Drosophila melanogaster: one gene and its partner. The gene in region 1 interacts genetically with each later gene. Each region holds a gene or a part of one and is shown on either strand. Other genes may lie near its edges.

Region 1 (5,230 bases):
CGGGAAAAAGACCAGACCCTCCCTTTCCCTCCCCAGCCACTTTCCAGCTTTGTTGTAACCTCGTGTTGTGCCTGCTTTTTAATCCCGCTTTGTTGTAACGCAGGCCATTTGCTGTTTTTGTTTTGTTTCTGGCGTGGCTAAAACGGATTATGTGACCCAACCCTTTCGATTTCGAGTCTCATTGTATTACATCCTTTTCCCAAAAATGACTAAAAAAGCGTATTGCCTATTTCTGGGGTGGACAGAATGAAACGGGGTCAGCACGTGGCCGCAAACTTGAAATACCATTATGGATCCAATAGGACTGTGAAGAGTTATTAGTGAAACATTTCGAACAAACTATTCCTTTAATTGAAATTTGCCAATTCCCCACTTAAGCATCGCATTTGCATATTTGTATGCTAACCAAACTCTCTGCGACGTCGATCTGTCTGAATCTGAATCCGCATATCTTTCGAGGGCAGCAATAGCGCCACCCCACCCCATTTCCGTTGCCACTAGCAGCGCACCACCCTTTGAAAGGACATCAAAAACCACCCCCTGCCCAAAGTTGCGTTACAATTCCCGAAGTGCAGTGCAGCGTACATAAAACATACAATGAAATCCGATAAAATTTTCTATGTCCTTTATATCCTCATAACATGCCCAACTATAAACCGAGCCAAATTCTTCTCGTGAAAAAGTTGCACACAACGCGATTTCACTGTACCTTACATTGTTCTGTAAACTGGAACAGAGCGTCCGACTGGAAGAGGCGAAGGAAAAAATCAGCACAGGGAACAGGAAGTTCACAAGGATTGGGGGTGTCCGAGGGTGGCTACATATATATGGCGATATATGGCATACAGTATGTGCATACATATACATACATATACACATATATGTATGTATGTACCATACTATGTGGCGTGTCTAGTGGCGCGAATAACGAATACAGGAGCAATGAAGCACACGAACGAAGCGAAACGAAACGAAGGGAAATATTGAAAAAGCCAGAATTGCATTACTTCAAAACTATACCGGCTCTTGGATATGGGTCCTGGGTCTCGGTTCCTTGCTTCTGGCTTTCGCTTCGTAGGGGGTGTACGAGCAATACTGCCAGGAGAAACCACCCTAGCCTTTGGCGTTGGTGGTTGATAGTGCAAAAATAATAATAACGGAAACGGAACCATAAACCCAAAACAGCCCTTACAACGCGACTGATTTGTAAGGATAATGGTCGCATGCATCATAAAACGGTTGACGACCTCGTCGGAAAGAGCCAACATTTTGCAATGATTTCCAATTGCTCCTGCTATCTAGGCCCAATGGGCCGCTAAGTACATATGAAGCATACATAGCTAAATACATATGAAGCATACATACATCGGGTTAACTATAAAACCAATGTGTTCTAGATGAGTTTGTTAATTTTACAAAGTAAGTTAGGGCTGCTCCAGTGGTTTTAAGTTGCTTAACTGGACAAGAGAACTTGGCTCTCTCCCCCATCTATCTCTTGTCTTCGGGAAAGGTAACCTCCATTTTGATCGGTTGAATTTGTATCAAAAAGCATGAAAAACTTTGAATACAGCATAAACCACTGAGAGAGCAGCCGAAAGCCAGGGGTGTATCAAAAGGGGTTCTTAGAAATATTCCACTTTGCAACGATTATAGACTCGTTTCTTATCAGACAAAACTTTCTCCACTTCTACGTGGTATTTACAGAAACAAAACTTAAGGTAAAATGTTAGGTGGCTATATATTAAAGCTATTAAAATATATTAAAGGTTTCCGGAATAACCCCCTATCTCGGCGCGCAGATACGCCCATGTCGCCACTCTTTCGCTCTCTACCTTCCACTCTCGCTCCGAACACCATTGCAACCCCGAGAGAGCTGCTCGAGAGGCAACTATGAGATATGAGAATGAGAGGTTGCTCTATGTGAAAATGGAAACCGAAACCGTCAATGCCTCAATTTCGCATTTCATTATTTCATTTCCACGCCAACCATCGTGCGCCGCGGTCTGAACGCTCCTGCCACAGAAAAAGAAAATAAAAGCAAGGAAAATTCTAATCGAATACCAAATATCGTGCTTGTGTGCTCTTTCCGCAATTGATTTTTTTTAAGTAGTGCATGACAATAACCGTTGAGTTGACTCCAACCGAAGTAACCATAACTGGAAGCTGACAACAGCCATTGGCCGGAATCTCATCTCACACCGAGCGAAATGTAAGAGTATCCCCAGGATATCCACAATTTGTGCAACTGAATGAAAGGCAATGATAACAATATCAATCAACAACTTTGAAACAGTACTTTTTTTTTGCTAATGATCGCGTCGCGCTGCATAATTGTGCAATTTACTCACTTATAATCCGCGTGTCTGCATATATCCATATGTACCTATATCTATTTTTTTGCTAGTGGGTGTGTGATGTGTGTAAGTTGTATACATTCAAACGAATATTAATAGGCAAAACAACAATATGCAATTCGATGGAGGAAAAAGCGAACCTCCCAAAGAGAGTGGCGGAGAGATGGGCGGCGGTTAGTCAGAGTGAGAGGGGGCGGCCAGTGCGGAGATAGTAGATGTGTTCAGATCTACGCCTCTGTGAGCTGTGTATCTGTAAATACTTGCTGCTCAAATTTAAATCTGTGTGTGTATGTGTGTGTGGGCTTGCGTGTGCGGGAGAGAAGAGCGCTGAGTGTTAGAGCGAGAGCCAGTTCCGAAGAGGGCGCAGCTAGCATATCGATTTTATGATTTCATGTGCAAGGAGCATTGTACGCAACAACAAACGGAGGAACACGACCAACTAACCGTTAGAAGTAGCCATTTTTTGAGCGCAGCGGAGAGGGTGGGCGAGTGTGTGTGGGTGGCGGAGTACTTGCAGTCAACAAAACGCCGGTTGCCATAAAAGCAAATGCACGCAGGCATGAATCAGACCCATGTCGTAGTAGCAATATTAAACATAGAGGATTCGCGATTCACAGCAAAGGAGTTTTTTCTCAAAAAACGACAACAATTAGTTTTTTTTTTCCCAGTGGTCGTCTGTGTTTATGCTTGTGTGGAAGAGAGCTCGAAATAGGTAGATATATACACGCGTATTTATTTATTATGTGTACATATGTGCTTGTAAAAACAATATCAGCCATACAAAGTTTGAGTCCCCTCCGCCCACCTCCTAACAACAACATCGATATCTAAATCGGTGCAGGTAAAGAGCGGTTGCTACAGGCCCAAATAACCTCTCTTCAGTAGAATTTTACCAACATCTCAAAGTATTCTCGCTGCGCCACATGTATGCGTATCTGCACGCAGATATATTTTTTGTATCGCCTGTGAAATATGAATTCAATGCTTTGGATGGGGTAAAATCGATAATATCGATTGGCGATAACAATCGCACGCACACACACAGGCCCGCAAACACGAACAACTAAAACTACAACAACAACCACCAAACCCATCGAATTTACCGCTTATAGTTTTGTTTTATTTTTGTTTTTGTCCACATCAGACGGCGACGCCAGCGTTTATTTATTAAAAACGATTACATTACAACAAACACCAAAGTCCTGGACAACCGAAGAGAGTGTGGGAGAAAATCGAAGCAGAGAGCAAGGAGGAGCGCCGTGAGAGCGCGCGCGCAAGGATTTGAGATTGCAAAGAGAACTTAGCAATTAGTTCGCTTTGTTTGTCCAGCCAAACAACAACAACAACCAACCAGCTCCCCAAAACCAACTACACACATACTCGCTCCCTAAACTAAAACAAGTGAGTATTGAAAGACGACGGGCCGAGCTGACGAGATCGCAGGACGAAAGAGAGAAAACTTTCGAAGGGTGCGGTGTCGTGTCAAGGCAACACAATCAAACCACTAATGCGGAATATTAAAAAAAAAAATTAATTTAAATCATAAGAGGTTAGCTATATTTGATATATATATGTGTGTATCCATGTACATATGTCTATGTTAGACAAGTAGCTCCTTCTTGCCGTATTGTAGTTCGGGTTATCGTTACCCGCCTCTAATTGGCTTGCCATGACGAAAGTGGGTGGTACAGGACGACGACGTGCGTGCGCGTGACCTTTTGACTCTTCCATAAGCGCCTCAATAAAAGGTGCGAGTCGGTACATACATATGTATGAGAATAGAGGATATTAAAAACTAAGAAAAGCATCCACCAAAGTAAAAACAGTAGCAACTAAAAACTTTTCAGTCTCAGCTAACCAGTCCAAACCAGCTATGTAGTTTTTAGCACGACTTTGGGAGTGTCGAATGCGTTAACTAAAGCTCAAATATATATCGAGACCCGCTGTAGTCCCTATATGCAAATCAAATTGCTACCATTTCCGCAGCGATCGCTTTTCGCGACAGCCCCCTCTCTCTGTCGCACTTAGTTCAGTGAACCAACACATTCGCTGGTTTCGTTCCGAGCAGCATCCTCTGTCTCTCTTGCTCAGCCTCTTCGCCGCCCCCTCTGCCTAAGCCTCTGTTTCTGCTGTCCGCACCCCTTACCAAGGTGTCATGTAAATGGCGGAGCCGGCTTAGGGGGTGGCAATGCCGTGCTTTTAACCCTTATCGGTGGCAAATGGCGCTCGTACATTTGGAGAAAATGCCGTTCTACGTTTCGTTTTGCTTCGTTTCGCCAAGCGAAGTATTACAACTTGTTTGACTAAGGGTGGGTCTACCGTCTATTGCTCATTTATGGTGTTTTGATGCTTTCTCAAGGGGTGCGGGCTGGTTTCTCGCATGTCCTGACCCTCTGGGTCATCCCTCTGTTCACCGCATTACATAACTGGGCGGGGTGCACAGCGCGACACACTCTTATGGAGAGAGCGCTGTAATTTGCGGAAAGGAGACGAGGGGGAGAAGGGACGCAAGAGCAGCTACAGCGCGCAGCAGTGCCAGAAAGTCCTGCGCTCGCCCCAGAAGCATCCTGTTCCTGTGACGCAGCGGATCTGGTCTCGCGTTCGCTCCACTACCTCCACTTCCTACACCTACAGTACACATATCACATGAACTTAAAACTAGTGAACGGATTAATTAAAAAGGAATCGCAAAACAAAAGCTCGCTAATCGCGCAGACACAGCAGAAGCTTAAATTCAGAAAAGTTTAGTTCTTCAGTGCCGAAGGTGTGTTTGCAGAGCTTTGATTTCTAGTGCGCGGGTGTGGGAAGAGAGGACTAAATAGAGACAGAGAGAGCGGCCGGATGAGAAAGTGGGGCGCTGGGCGGCGCCTGTTAGC
Region 2 (5,100 bases), 240 kb from region 1:
ACTGAATACACACGCAAACTCGCCCAGCTCGAGGTGCACCTCACGATGAAACTATCTTATGCAGTGTTTTTATTTATTTTCCTTGGATCTTTTTTAAACTACCACGCATGCACTACTCGAACTACCCAATCACCCCCGCGAAACAATGCAGTGGGAACACCACCAACTCCCACGTCCTTATAGGGGATGTGAGCACGACCCACTTGCGCGTGCCACACATATATCGAGAAAAGTGGCCCAGCAAAAGTGAGCACACTTCTAAACCTTGATTGTAATCAAAATAGGCATCTGATGATGAGAGAAAGGGGAAAAGAGTAGAGAGAGTATATGTTCACCCCCTAAGACACATACATATATACATTCTTATCCGGATTCTGAAAAAGGTGGGTGATGAAATTGTGTGAAGGAACCTAAAGTATTGCCAAATTAAAAAGCTCTGCGTTTGTTGGATGTAGTCTTCAGGTTTTCTTTCTAATTATAGAAGTAGGCCATTTTAGAGTCCTTTAAGATTTAAGGCCTACACAGTGATGCCCACAGGTTGCAGTAAGCGCAACTAAACTTTGTGTCGGAAGTTAGCAACACTGTAAAGAAGGCATTTGCGATGTATACTATTCTTGATCAGTGTCAACACCACAGGCGACAAAGCCACGTCCGTCTATACGTGTCTACGAAAATTATTCTCTTAGTTTTAATGTTATATGCTTGCACCTTTTCCAAGAGTATTCTTTGTCTTGCACATGGTATATTATTCGGTACGGAATAATAAAAAAAAAAATAATTTAAAAAAGTGTAGCATCGTTGTTTTAACATCTGTACATATATATACATAAGTATATATATATATATATACATATATACACTTCAATATATTTCGGTTGTAATTGCATCGAGAAGTCGAAAAGTCACAGGGAAATTGAGGAAAAAGAATCCTAGTTTGTTTTTATATTTCGCACAAAGCGTATACTCGTAAAAGCCGTTTTTGACATCATAATTTCGGTTTCAATTTGATCAAAATATTAGAAAAGAAATTATACTCTTGTTGTATCCGATCATAAATTCTTCTTATTCGGTGTTTTCTCAATTTACTATTTAATGTAAGCGTATGTGTGCTTTCGCGTTTTATATGTATTCTTAAGGCAATTTTTAGTATTCGTGAATATTTCATTATTTTTGAATATTTAAATTCTTTAACCCCAGCTTCCGTAAACTCCAAAAAGTTACTGCCGTTTACATCGAAGTATCGTTTATTCTATCTATACATATATAGGAAAATTAAAAATACCTTAAGACACTTTTTTATAATTTTAAGCATGCAAGACTAACAGCCGCAATAATTACCAAATTATGATAAGACAATTTGTTATGTTCTGCAAAGAATTGACCCCACCGTGTTTTTTTACTTTCCCTTTCCCACAATCGAATTTTCTTGGTACTGCTGTTTCTCTCTCTCCCTCTCTTAATTTCCCACCATACTCTTTTTTCTGTGCTGGACAGCACAGCTCTACAAAAATGAAATGATAACAGCGAAAATACAAACGAGAGGCAAGTTACGCATGCGAAGGTTGTCGCGGCAGTGGAGTCGGCGCAAAGACCACCACTGTTCATAGCAATGCAGTGACAGAAATATACATATGTATGTACATATACAACCAACAGTAAGAGTTCGTAGGAGTTTATAGTCGGGGAAACAGGAAAATACCAGCAAAAATGTAATCTTCTTGTTATGTCTAAATTTTTATATTTGTTTGAGCTATTAAATGTTCTTGACTATCTTAAACTCATCTCGAGTAGAAACTATTTTTGTTAGGCATGTGTTTAAATCGGCCATAAAATAAATAAAATACTCTTATTCCTTAGATTTAAAAGATGTAACAAATATAATCTGTAATTGTAGGCTGGCCGTTGCCCTGTTCCAATTGGAACTGTACTTTTATAGCCCACCCCAATACAACCTATAACAGTGGCGTCCTTCACTATTGGAACTGGAAAAACCCAATGAAGGTTGCTGTGAGCTAGCCATCCCGCTCTGTTTATCCATGTGTGTATCTACAAATTTTTCGTCTCTAGGGGGTGGTTTGGGTGTTTTTCGCAACCCCAAAAACGTCAGAATCACACAGACACAGATGCATCAAAAACACGCATACCTTCCAATGCAAATGGGAAATGCGTGTGCTGTCGTGCACACAATTGGAAGTGATACCTGTTTGGCGTTTCTATTCTACAACCCTACTTTACACATCATCCTTCCTATCGGAGTTTCCTGTCTTTGTTTTAACTTTTAGCTGAGGCGCATGGTTAAGTTACGGACACTCGCAGTTGGATTTTCATTTACGGCGCCGATGTAACGGTAACACAAGCTAAATACACCAGCACACATATATGATAACCTAATACACACACACAAGCCAGCAAGAACCGTTAGCTCAGAAACTCCGAAACTTTTGGGCATTCACTTATGCCACTACAAATCTCTATATACACATATAAATTATAGACTGTCACAGTGGAAAATCGGAAAATTTGTTGACCCCTACCACTAGTTTACACCCACATACGCACCTGTGTATTTTTGTTGTTTTTCCAGCTCCTTTATGATAACACACATACACACTCACAAAGAAAAAAAAGGCGCACGCACACGAACGCGCCGCCGCTATTGTGCATTGGTGTGTTTGCCCCTGCGCCGAAAATTTTCTTTGGCGTTTATTTATTATCACACTGCACATGCGAATATTCCGTGCATTTTACATTTGCGCACTGCCGTTTCTAGGTTGTAGCTCCAAAATTTCCCGCTCGCAAAGTTTCGCTGTTTTCCCTCACGATGCTTTTCCGTTAGCTTAGTTTTCAGCTGCCTGTCCCAGCACTTTTCCCCAAGTTTCGACGCAATTTTGCGATTTAATTTAGCCGAGGAATGGTATTTAGTACATGACAAATATCGATATACAGCACGCGTGATTTTTTCAGACGTCGATAATGTACACGCAATACATATCGCAGTCGAAGGAAAGCGGTCACTCTAAAATGCATAGGAGAAACGAGGATTGGCGGTCCCACTAATTGTGCTATTTAAGTTTAAATTCAAGTCCCCCTAGCGGACTTATATTAGTTGAAAAATTGATTGTATATTTTTGAGTAAGCATATAATAATCCATAAATATAATAATATAATAATAATTTTTGATATAAGAAATTTAAGTTTTCTGGTGCCAAAAAGATTTTAGTCTTTCTATGCAGGGAAAATTTGTTCCCTGGGCTTGCCACGTCCTCTATTACACTCACATATTTATAATAGTTTCATATTTATTTAGTTTGTTATTTTTTAGAAGAGTTTTTAAATTTCTCTCTAGCACTCCACCATCTCCGTATCTGATAAGAGACAGTTTATTAGTAGCTTTTTTTAAAGGTTTATATTATGAACGCTACAAAGAATATACAACATTTGATCCACGAATTAATCAGATGTAGTTATTAATGTAACAAAACTTTTAGGATACCCCAAAATAATGGTAAATTTTAAACAGTCGAAAAATTTATTATTCGGGAGTCGAACTGCAATTACACGTAAGCCCTTCACAAGGCAGCTAGCAATATTTAAAAAGGAGTAAGCTAGCCAGGCCAAATGAAAAACTGACATACAATCAACTTCGTATTTCACACGCGGGAAATTTAACAAAAAATAAAAAACAAAAAAATAGTTTAGGGATATGAAATCCTGAAGGATTGGTAAACTAGAACGACCGAAGACGACTAACTGCTTGCCACCAAAAATGTTGGGTTTTTATGTCCGTCGTCGGCACTCACACAATAAAATTCATTATTAGGATGTATATAGTGATAAAAGGAATTGTTTTTTTTTAACACAGATTGCCCGTATGTAAAAACCAAAGAATTCATATTATATAAAAAGAAACCACAAGTTGCTTATCGCTGTGAAATGAGGCTGGTAGTGCGCTTGCACTATGGGGAATTTAACATGTTTTATTGGCATAAATTAATATCTCGTAAACTATTTAAGATACGATGAATTTAGAATTATTTTGGCAAAGTGGGTGCCCCGCCCACTCCCATAAAATTTTTTTTTTAAATCAATATATTCTATCTAATCCACCAATGTATTGGAGTTACACCATGTTTTAGATTGTCCACAATCGGTACAAACTTAAGTCTCTTAACATTTTTATTGATAAAAAAATCTTTCAGAGTCGCATTTCGTACACTTCTATCAGGGCCGCATTGCTGATTGCTACCTAAAAATGTAATCTTCGCGAAAAGTCACAATAAGTAGCATTCGCAAAAGTCGCGTTAACCGTATGTGTTCTAAGTAGGTAATTAATCACTCTAAAACATTGACTAACACACATATCAAAAATTTTTTGAAACTCAATTAATTTTCGTAAGCACTAAAAAAGAAGGTCATCGATGGCACGTGGTTTTTAACATTGATTAATTTACATTTGCGTTACATAACTTAAGCCTTGATCTTAATCCGTTAAGAAAAAAGTGTTCAACAATTGAAACATTTTTAAAAACACATTTATGCCAAAAAACGAATCAAATTCCCCATAGTGGCTTTGGATTTATCTGAAACTTGGCCCTACTTATTCCTTATCGGCAATTCTTCCGGAATTCTACACGAACTGGCCTTATCGGTTCTGCATAATCGAAACTGGCAGTGATCTTGAATTCAGTATTTAATCCAGCTTGGCAACTTAAAACTGAATTGGGTCAAAGGGGTCGAGGCGTGTACTATTTCCGTTTATTTCACAATTGGCAATAATATTCTTCTATATCATTATGAAATTGACCACTGGAAATTTTTGAGTAGCATAAGACAAATTAATTGTTTTTACTTTACAACTATTATTTAAAAGAAACAAATAAATATTCACGAAATAATTTATGTTGCAATTCATTGCTTTCACATCAATATGTTATGTTGAAGGTCCTCTGATGCTAATAGCCGCCACCGAGTGAAACGAAGGTCACGAGTTCCATATACTGTGTGACAGTGGAAAACTAGATTAAGGTCCCTAACGTAGTTTCCAAGGTTTAGTTGTTTTTGCAATAGGCTGTGGGCAAATAGGATTATCCGAATGTTTT

What was found.
Region 2: of elav (region 1) and ewg, changing one suppresses a phenotype caused by changing the other (phenotypic suppression), as found in Drosophila melanogaster (one study listed by BioGRID).

Annotation. Positions count from the first base shown.
Region 1 is NC_004354.4:519,965-525,194, reverse strand, and holds the start of elav (embryonic lethal abnormal vision), read left to right. Parts: upstream 1-1,968; 5' UTR 1,969-2,209; intron 2,210-3,498; 5' UTR 3,499-3,754; coding exon 3,755-3,755; intron 3,756-4,909; exon of another isoform or gene 4,910-5,118; intron 5,119-5,230. UniProt on the Drosophila melanogaster protein: Required for the proper development and maintenance of neurons presumably by affecting RNA metabolism.
Region 2 is NC_004354.4:276,626-281,725, forward strand, and holds the start of ewg (erect wing), read right to left. Parts: upstream 3,010-5,100; 5' UTR 2,560-3,009; intron 1-2,559. UniProt on the Drosophila melanogaster protein: May function as a positive regulator of transcription in developing and differentiated neurons, regulating common aspects of neuronal differentiation and maintenance. Requirement in the CNS may be higher than in the peripheral system.